3 linked regions of the Tribolium castaneum genome follow. The protein of the gene in region 2 interacts with the protein of the main gene of each other region in a pairwise test. Links are inferred from orthologs where the notes say so. Each region holds a gene or a part of one and is shown on either strand. Other genes may lie near its edges.

The links. The genes of interacting proteins can lie anywhere in the genome.
Region 1: the proteins of dock (region 2) and SH3PX1 interact in a two-hybrid assay, tested with the Drosophila melanogaster proteins (2 studies listed by BioGRID). The link is inferred for Tribolium castaneum from reciprocal best matches to the Drosophila melanogaster genes dock and SH3PX1.
Region 3: the proteins of dock (region 2) and Dscam1 interact in a two-hybrid assay, tested with the Drosophila melanogaster proteins (3 studies listed by BioGRID). The link is inferred for Tribolium castaneum from reciprocal best matches to the Drosophila melanogaster genes dock and Dscam1.

The regions. Positions count from the first base shown.
Region 1 is NC_087402.1:7,277,860-7,280,692, forward strand, and holds the end of SH3PX1 (sorting nexin lst-4), read left to right. Parts: intron 1-811; coding exon 812-1,537; intron 1,538-1,582; coding exon 1,583-1,968; 3' UTR 1,969-2,208; downstream 2,209-2,833. Other genes in the region: CD151 antigen, read left to right, coding at 2,484-2,555.
Region 2 is NC_087398.1:11,595,703-11,599,331, reverse strand, and holds part of dock (SH2/SH3 adapter protein dreadlocks), read right to left. Parts: intron 2,482-3,629; coding exon 1,786-2,481; intron 1-1,785. UniProt on the Drosophila melanogaster protein: Adapter protein that links cell surface receptor tyrosine phosphorylation to downstream signaling pathways and effectors, many of which are involved in regulation of the actin cytoskeleton.
Region 3 is NC_087395.1:21,566,315-21,569,974, forward strand, and holds part of Dscam1 (Down syndrome cell adhesion molecule precursor), read left to right. Parts: intron 1-213; coding exon 214-333; intron 334-384; coding exon 385-558; intron 559-606; coding exon 607-1,665; intron 1,666-1,712; coding exon 1,713-1,868; intron 1,869-1,915; coding exon 1,916-2,230; intron 2,231-2,275; coding exon 2,276-2,777; intron 2,778-3,660. UniProt on the Drosophila melanogaster protein: Cell surface receptor involved in guidance and targeting of growing nerve axons.

The sequences.
Region 1 (2,833 bases), on a different chromosome or scaffold from region 2:
TCTATAATTTCTTATAACCAAAATTATTTAATGAATTTATTAGCATAATAAATGTATGCACAAGAAAATATTTCTTATGTCATTCTGAAAAATACGATGCTTAAATGTTCTATTGTTCTAAAAGTATTTTAAAAAATGGCGCTAGAGATCAGTAATTGCTAACGTATCTGTTTGAGAAATTAATTTTATAAATTATTTATGTTGCGCCGACACGTTAAAAGATCGATTATTATTACCCGTATCTATTTTTCATAACTGAATTACAAATAAAAAGTCGTCAAATTTTGAGTTTTATAAATTAATTCGGGAAACCGACCCTAAATTAAATTAATAAAAAATAAACATTACATGACATTTAAGCATAAAAATTCTACGCTATCGTTTGCGTAAGTTTCGAGATATTTTGTTTTTTTAATATTGTTTATTACATTATATTTCGTATGTATTTGGTTTGTAATTCCTAGACCTGGATGAGATCTTGGTTACAATAAAAAAAATACAAACTATACCCAACTGAAAAAAGACGTCTTTCGTAACTACTTAAAAGTAAAAAAAATAATCGATTTTACAAATATTGACGAAGTCACAATACATTTTTTAAACAATGTTGGATTCCACTCCTTGTTTATTATCAACGAAACAATAGAAATAATTAATACTGATAAAATTTGAATTTAATATTTCGATCTTTACTCCCTTGATTGTTCCAATAAACAATCAATAAATGCTAATTAAATGAGATAATGCGTACAATCTGAAAAAAACAACAACCGGAGGCGCGCATCGCCCTCATCGATCAATCGCTTTTCAGGCACGTTAAAAGACATCCCATCCCACACAAAAATTCGAATATTTCGAGAAAACGACAACGTGTTCCGATGGGAACTGATCTCGGACCCGTACACGGTCCAAGTGACCTCACCAAAAAAAGCGTCAAAAATGGGCGGCCTCAAATCATTCATCGCATATCAATTAACACCATCGTTCACCGGAATCGAAGTATCCCGCCGTTACAAACACTTCGACTGGCTGCACGACCGCCTCTCCGAAAAGTTCAACATAATCGCAATTCCTCCGCTACCGGATAAACAGATTTCGGGCCGGTATGAGGAGCATTTCATCGAGCACCGGAGAGTGCAGCTGCAGGAGTTTGTCAATTACGTGTGTCGACATCCAGTTCTGTCGACTTGCGACGTTTGGAGGCATTTTCTCACCTGCACTAACGAAAAACAGTGGAAGGAAGGCAAGAGAAAAGCGGAGAAAGACCAGTTAGTCGGGGCGAACTTTTGCCTGTGCATCGAGGCCCCAGATAAGGACTTGTTAGCGTCGACTATTGAAAGTAAAATTGAGAGTAGCATATCGTACATTAACCAAATGGACCAGTGCATCAAGGGCTTGATGCAGACGGCGTCCGATCAGCAGAAAAAATGCGAGAATTTGTATAAAAGAGAACATACGAAAATTGGCGAGAGCTTTTTCCAGCTCGGGGTCGCGTTCGAGCACAGGGAAGGTGGATTGTTCTCGGATTTGGCCACAGGTACCTGCAGGTGATTGGAGACTTGGAATAATCTGGTTGTTTCAGATGTGAAGAAAATTGGGACCACTTATATTGAAATCGCCAAGTTGTGCGAAGATCAGGCGAAAATCGATTGGCAGCCGCTAACCGATAAGTTGTACCTCTACAGGGGGATCACGAGTTCGTACCCCGATATTTTCTCGATGCAAAAACACGCCGAACAAAAGAAGAAGGAGTGTGAAAGGAACACGCAGTTCTCACACCAGCAAATCACTGAAGTTAGGAAGCGCACCGATGTTCTGACTTACTCGGTTTTCGCCGAACTCGACCATTTCCAGGCTGAGATGAACACCGAATTTCGGTCAGCCATGCGGTCGTTTTTGCAAGAACAGGTCAACTATTACAAAAATGTAGTGAGCAGATTGGAAGACACCTTGAGGAAGTTTGAGTAGTTTTTCTTGCCTTGTTATCATCTATCGTGTTTATTTCCAAGCCAAAACAATTGTGATTTAACTTTTTATTATATAATCTGTTATATGTTTATCCTTACGTGCTGTGTATATTATGGAAATTCCAACGTTTACATTAATTTTTATTTAATAGAATCACCGAGACATATTTTGTACATGAAATGTAATTGTATATTTCTATATATTTTGTTAAGTCAGATGTAATAAATGTGCTTACACGAACGCTGGTTTTATTCTCCTCCCGAGACAAAAGATCATTACTCTCCGTCAATTGGAAATCGTGACCTTAAACCACTTAAGGCAAACGGAAAGGACGCTTCTGTAACATCAATAAAATCGACCGGCTTTGACCATATCAGGAATTAGAAATTGACCCGACGCTCATTCATGCTATTTCAAGCAGGATTAGCTATAAAATTTAACGACCCAAACAATCCTAAAAATAACCAAAATATTTTTCACAGATGGGGGCAGAAAGGCACTAAGCGGCCGTCGAAATGGGCAGCAGAGAGTGCTGCGGCTTGAACGTTGTCAAAAACGTGTTAAACTTCTTCAATATAATCTTCCTGGTAAGTGTGATAATGGTCGTTCAACTTTTCACAAAGTCACGCCCACGTTAGCTCCGTATTTGTCAATGAGTGCATTCTGCATTTTAATTATCAATTCGATGAGATTCTCACGGATCGTGGTCAGGAACAAGGCACTCCTTTGTGCTCTTCGATGGCCCTTATTACATAAGTACACCTACAGACGGCACGCAAACTCCTCCAAATTATACGTCTACAATGCCGCCATACGTATTAAGTTCTTCTCAGACGTTATCTGAGCTGTTTATTCACTTTTATTG
Region 2 (3,629 bases):
TTTTTCATTTCTCACTCTTTCTAGTTCTACAGAACTGGAATTTTAATTTCACTGGTTTTTAGTTTTTTTGTATTTCATCTTTTCAGTTTCTAAGTTTTTCAGCTTTTCAATTAGTTTTTCACTTATTCACTTATTCTTCAGAATTTCAGTCTCAGTTCATTTTATCTTTTTAGTTTCGAAGCGTTAAAGTTTCTTAGAATGTCAGTGTTTGAATTTTTTATTTTTCTACTTTTCAGTTGGAAATACTGGTCGTATTATTTTTTAATGTTGCACTGCCTTTTATTACTAAAGATTCATGAGCCGTTGCAAAAGCATAGCATTACGAGTATTTTAGTCAAGCCATTTTGAAATGTTATTTACTTTCTCACTTTAAAATTTTAGTTTATGCTATTTATAAAATAGCAAAAAAAACCTGTAACTTGTTGAAGCCATTGAACACGTGAAAAAAGTACTTCAGGAGTGGAAAAATTAGTTAGTGACAAATTGTATAAAATAATTATGGATATAAAAATCTAACCAAAAATAGAAATATTAATTGAATAAAAAATAATCGTAATACACAGGTGCGTGATTTTAGTAATATATATTTCTAGCGGTAATTCCATACAATGAATTCATTTTTTAGGTAGAGATGAATTCTTACAGAAAAAAGGACAGATTTTACAACAGCAAATTTAGAACAATATTTAAGATCAACGTTTAGTTAACTTCTCCTTAGCTTTTTTGTGCAATTTTAAGTGTTTTACGTATTTCGGAATGGAATTTATTGCAATAAAAATTATGTCCCTGCTGTAGGAATTAATATAAAATGTGTCTTAAGTCACCAGATTTTAATACTTAATTTCTGTTTTTTTCCAACTTTTTTGACACTTAAATAAAGTTTCTAATCTTCTAAAAATAAACTTATAAAACTCTGGCGGAACATTTTTTATTATCATTATTTATTATCTTTATTATTTTATTATAAGTAGGTGCTTTAGTCTCCTCTAAACTAAAGACTAATACATAGTCAGAGGTAAAATTAGTGCATTTTATCGACAATCAAATTAAAAGAAAAAGTAAAATTCGGTGAGGAATTCCCTAACTTTTATCATGACTCAATTAATTTAAAATTCCTCAGGGAATCTTATGTTCAACTAGCTTGAACGTTTAAGGTCTTAGTGGCTGTAGAGAAACAGTTTTGCTGACTTTTTACAAATTTCTTACACTTTTTTTGATACGGGATAGTGCGTAAATTGATAAAAGCATAAATTTTGTTTTTATTCCTAGGAAGTTTTTTCAGTAAATTGTTATACACCAAAGTTGGCTACAAAATACCCAACCACTCATATTTTAAAAATTATAATTTTATGTTCAAATTCGTTAACTAAACGTATAAAATAGTACTTATTTGGTCTTATTTTATAAAAAGACACAGTTTTTAATACAACATTTTACTCTAATTCTTTTTCAGCTTGTCGATTACATTTTTCACAAACTATAGTTGTTTTGCCAATTTTTCGTTTTTCTTAAAGAGACGTTTTAAAATTATCAACAAAAAAATTATTTGTGGCTACTTTTTACCCAACATTTGTCTTCGTAGTGTTAATATATTTTTCGACTGCATCACCTTCATCCCTTACTCTTGAGAATTTATTGAAATTTAATTGTTTTTAATTCTTTGACTAAACATTTTTAAGCTTTTCCATAACATTTCGATTTAAAGACTATAACGATAACGGAACTGGGCCGTTTTATTTGTATGTCGTGTCGTAGTTCGGGCTATAGAGGTTCAACTGTACTTACATTCGTTTCACTATCCCTGATGAGAAAATCCCCATCGTGTCCTCTCTGATTCAGGAGATTATCACACATATACCTCGTGATACTCCCATAATACCACGGCTTGTCCACCAGATGGGGTTTATCGCCCATTGCCACTTGCGACCTCTCCATCGGCTCCTGTTTTCGGTCGAGAAACGGCTGAGTCAAATACTCGGACAACTCCTGCAGGTAATTCCTCGGCACCAAGCCGACCTGTCCTTGCGCATTCCTCGCTTTGTACCATTCGGGATCACTCGGAGGCCGATCTAAAATCTCCAATCGGTCGCCCTTTTCAAAAGACAACTCCTGGTCGTTTGTCGACGAGAACGAATACAACGCCACGACGATATCTAGCACGTTTTCTGCCATCGCGTACGTGTGAAGGGTATCGTCGGCGTCGCCCTCCTCCTGGGTGTAGTTCGAAGGGAACCAGCCGGCGACGTTCCCGCTCTGACCTCGCCACCAGCCGTCGTTGCTCTTCTCCAAGATGAGAATTCGGGAACCTTTGACGAGGGAAAGTTCGTCGGGTTGTTGGGCTTGATAATTGTACTTGACGACGGCGGTGCCGATGGCTTCGGAGGGATCGGCGGCTTGACGACGCGCCATACTGGGGGATTCCACCGTCCGGGAGGGAGAGTTATTCGAAGGGAGGGTTTTAGAGCCGGCGCCCTTTTTTACCTGCCGACGGAACCAAATTTATTTAAACGGAAGCAAGGCGCAAATGAAATTACAAATAGCGGCTTGGAGAAATCACTTAGGATGTGCTCAAAAATGCCGAGAAAAACGCCATTTATCGGTTAAATTATAAATAAATGAAAATATAACTCAAGAATTCGGAACAAATGATCGCTTATGGCATCTTATCAAAAGTGAGCATGACGTCTGTTCATAATTAAGCAATTTTTAAGTCAATGTGGTGGTCCAGGCACTCGTGAAAAAACATCTTGTATTCAACACGTACACAAAATAACTAAACTAAACTAAATATTTCCTCAAATATTTCGTTTTTTTTAACAAATATCTTTTGTTTTAAGTTCAAATAATAGACAATTAATGAAACTGAGGCTTAAATATGCTACTTTGGCTTTATTTAACGCAGAAATTAATTAATAAATTAATACAAAAAATTGCACAAAAATTCAAATAACTGAATAGCCTTTATAAATTTTATAAAAAAAATAATATTTTATATTTTCACCTTATGACTCCACAATTAAAATTTTACCGACTTCATGGAATCTTATCAAAACAAACTATATAGCTATTAGCTGTTTCAAAATTATAAAAACGCCAACGTCGCATTGTTATAAATTATTTATGCACTTAAACTTAAAAAAATTAATAGTTAATGTAATTTATAATTTCGATGAGAAATTTATAATTTCATTAATAACTATTTTATATTTTTATCAATCTTATTTAAAAAAATATTCTTTAAAATGCGACACTCGCGTTTTTATAGTTTTGAAACAGCTGATAATATCTAAGAAATATCTAAGCTAATACCTATTTCCTCGAATATTGATGTTTCAAATATTTCTTCTTGTTTAGTTAAAAAAGTGAATGACTATTCGTAATAAAACTGAGATTTAAGCATGATATTTTCGCTTTATTTTAACGCAGCCTCTTCTCAAATTAATGCAAGAAATTGCACAAAATGCAAGTTTAAATTTATTACTAATTCGGATGTTCTGCCCTACGTGTAGGTTAATTTTTAAATGGAATTATTACTTTCGTTTCATTTTTTACTATGTGATTTCTCATACTATTTTTTATTAATGTACGCCACACTATTGTTAATAGAGATGTCTTTCTTTTTGAGTGTA
Region 3 (3,660 bases), on a different chromosome or scaffold from region 2:
CAAATACAATATTATTAGTTCCTTCGTGCAGAAGATAGAAGGTACTGATTTTTTCGAATAATAAAATTTCAGTTTTGAAAAAATCAGTCCTTTAATATTTTCGGCCAACAAAATTATTAATGCATGCCAGAAGCTCAATTTCGGCACTCAAAATTAATTGCATGTCATTTGCAAGTTCAAAATGCATTTTGACTGACCGAACGCAATTTTTAGTGCCACCGAGGTGGATATTAGAGCCAACAGACAAAGCATTTGCTCAAGGCTCTGATGCCGCTGTTGAATGTAAAGCCGACGGGTTCCCCAGGCCTGTAGTGACATGGAAAAGGGCTACTGGTTAGTCCCTCCACTCAATAGAAATTCTCAATTACAAATTCTCAATTCTAGGGGTTTCACCCGGCGATTACAAAGATTTCAAACCAAACAATCCCGATATTAAAGTCGAAGACGGCACTCTTACTATTAACAATATCCAGAAAACAAACGAGGGTTATTATTTATGTGAGGCTGTCAATGGGATTGGATCAGGATTATCTGCAGTTATTCAAATCAGTGTTCAAGGTACTGGACACAATATTGTAATGGGGAAAAATTAACTGTTGCTTGTAGCTCCCCCACAGTTTGATATTAAACTCAGGAACCAAACCTCCCGCCGTGGAGACCCTGCCGTCCTCCAATGTGAGGCCAAAGGCGAAAAACCGATTGGTATTTTATGGAATATCAACAATAAGCGTTTGGAACCAAAAGGCGACAATAGATACACGATCCGGGAGGAGATCCTCGCCAATGGTGTTCTTTCCGGCCTCAGTATCAAACGCACAGAACGCTCCGACTCCGCTCTCTTTACTTGTGTAGCTACCAACGCCTTCGGCAGTGACGATACCAGCATTAACATGATTGTGCAAGAAGTACCAGAGGTACCATACGGGCTGAAAGTATTGGACAAGTCGGGCCGAAGCGTCCAATTGTCATGGGTTGCACCATTCGATGGCAACTCCCCGATCACTCGTTACATGATCGAGTACAAGCAAAGCAAAGTCAGTTGGGAGGGAAACACCGAACGGGTACTAGTCCCAGGTGACCAAACTGAAGCTGGGGTTTTCACTCTGCGACCTGCCACCACGTATCACATCCGCATAGTCGCAGAAAATGAGATTGGGTCAAGTGAACCCTCTGAGACTGTGACCATAATCACGGCAGAGGAGGTACCCGGGGGGCCACCAACCAGTATCCGAGTTGAAACAAACGACCAGCATTCATTGGTCGTCTACTGGAAGCCTCCAGCTCGAGAGGAGTGGAACGGCGATATTTTGGGCTATTATGTTGGTTACCGCTTGGCTAATTCAGACAAGCCGTACCTTTTCGAAACCGTCGAATTCGGACGTGAGGAGGGCAAGGAGCACCATTTGAAAATATCGAACTTGAAGACCTACACCCAGTACTCTGTGGTGGTCCAAGCGTTTAATAAAGTGGGAGCTGGTCCCTTGTCTGATGATATCAAGGCGTATACGGCTGAGGGAGTACCTGAACAACCCCCAGATAAGGCCACTTGCACCACCTTGACGGCCCAAACGATTCGCGTTTCGTGGGTGTCGCCGCCCCTCACGGCCGCCAACGGGGTTATTAAGGGCTACAAAGTCATCTATGGACCATCAGACACTTGGTTTGGTAAGTCATGTTGGAAAAAAATCTATGTCGCTCATACATTTTTCCAGATGAGAACACCAAAGACACCAAAATTACCGCTGCTAGTGAAACGATCCTCCACGGCCTCAAAAAATACACCAACTACAGCATGGAAGTCCTGGCTTACACTTCCGGGGGTGACGGTGTTCGCACAACCCCGATTCACTGCCAGACTGAACAAGACGGTACTTATCGGTTTTTAGTGAAAGTTTGCCTAATTTTGTAATTGCAGTGCCGGAGGCTCCAATCGCCGTTAAGGCTCTAGTAATGTCAACTGATTCGATTTTGGCCAGTTGGAAGCCCCCAGTTGAACCAAATGGCATTGTCGAGTACTACACGGTTTACTACAAACCGGTCTCAACCGATGACAAAACCGAGGTCAAGCCAACGTCTCAAAAAATCGTACCAAACTTGCGCAACCAGAATTTGAGCCACCAAGCGAAAAACCTTGACAGTAACTTGAAATACGAGTTTTGGGTTACCGCAGCTACCACTATTGGAGAAGGGCAACCGTCGAAGAAAGTTACAGTGTCTCCAAGCGCGAGCGGTAATTTTTTCTAGTGGTTTAAGCACCAAAGGAATGTTTGGTCAGTTCCAGCCAAAATCGCCTCGTTTGACGATACCTTCACCACGACGTACAAGGAAGACGTGACTCTCCCTTGCCTCGCCGTTGGGTTGCCACCACCGGTCATCACATGGAAAATCAAGGGGGTTCAGTTCACCACAAGCGACAAAATCAGGCAACAACCAGACGGGTCACTGTTTATTCGTGATGTCAGTCGGAATAACGCAGGGGAGTACTCGTGTCACGTTGAGAATGACTATGGACAGGACTCGGTGACTCACCAGTTGATTGTCAATGCTCCTCCACACGCACCACAAATTGCTCTCACTTCAACTACCACAAATTCGCTCACGTTTAAGTTAAAGCCGCATGAGTCGGATGTTGAGCCGATCCATGGATACACTATTCACTACAAGCCAGAGTTTGGCGATTGGGAGACGGTCCAGATTGGACCAACTGTCGAAAAGTACACTTTGGAGAAGTTGCTGTGTGGGACGCGGTACCAGGTCTACGCCAAGGCGTATAACAGGTCAGTGACTTAGTTGGAACGATGTGTGGTTTCGTGCCAATTCGGTTTGTAAGACAGAGGCAACAGCGTTATTTTAGCAGAGATTTGTGGTGATACGAAAGATCAACATTTGCCTTTTCACCAGATCATTATAATACGCGTGTGTGAGGATTCAAAATAGGAGGGTATAATAAAACAGTTTATCATGGGGAAAACATTAGTTTATTCAATAATAAGTTAAAGTAACAGTGTGTAATGTAAATCTAGTTACATATTAACGGAGCCTAGTAACAGACCCATTACATGGCTCTCAGCGACTTCCTTGAGAAAAGCATCAGAATAAATAACACTACACAAATAAACTCCAAATAAAGGTACCCGTCCGTAAACAACAAATCAAAAATTAACGGTCACTTTATGAACGCTTTTCCACTGTCATCTAGACTTACTTCTTGCTTACTCAACACTCCAAGAGTAGCAAAACCGTTGACAAAAAAATTTTACATGGAACCAAATAATTAATAAATCTAGTTTAATAAAAACAGGAACAAAAACTTGATTTTGTATAAAAACGTGTTTAAATCTTCAGAATTTGAAAAAACAATGGCGTTTTTGGTATAATTCGGCTATTTATTGGCTTACTTTTTAAGACATTTTGCGCATAGTAGAGTTTTTGCTGAATAAATGTAAATTTTTGATGATTTTCGACCAAATTTGGCGATTTTTTGTTCTAGTTTAATAAAAAAAATGGAAGAAAAACTTGGTTTTTCATCTAAAAACGTGTTTAAATCCTCAAAACTTGAAAGAGTAATGTCATTTTTGACATAATTCTGTGAATTATTGGCTTACTTTTTAAGAAATTTTGCGTAATAATTAAATTTTTGCTTAGAAAAGGTAAATTTCT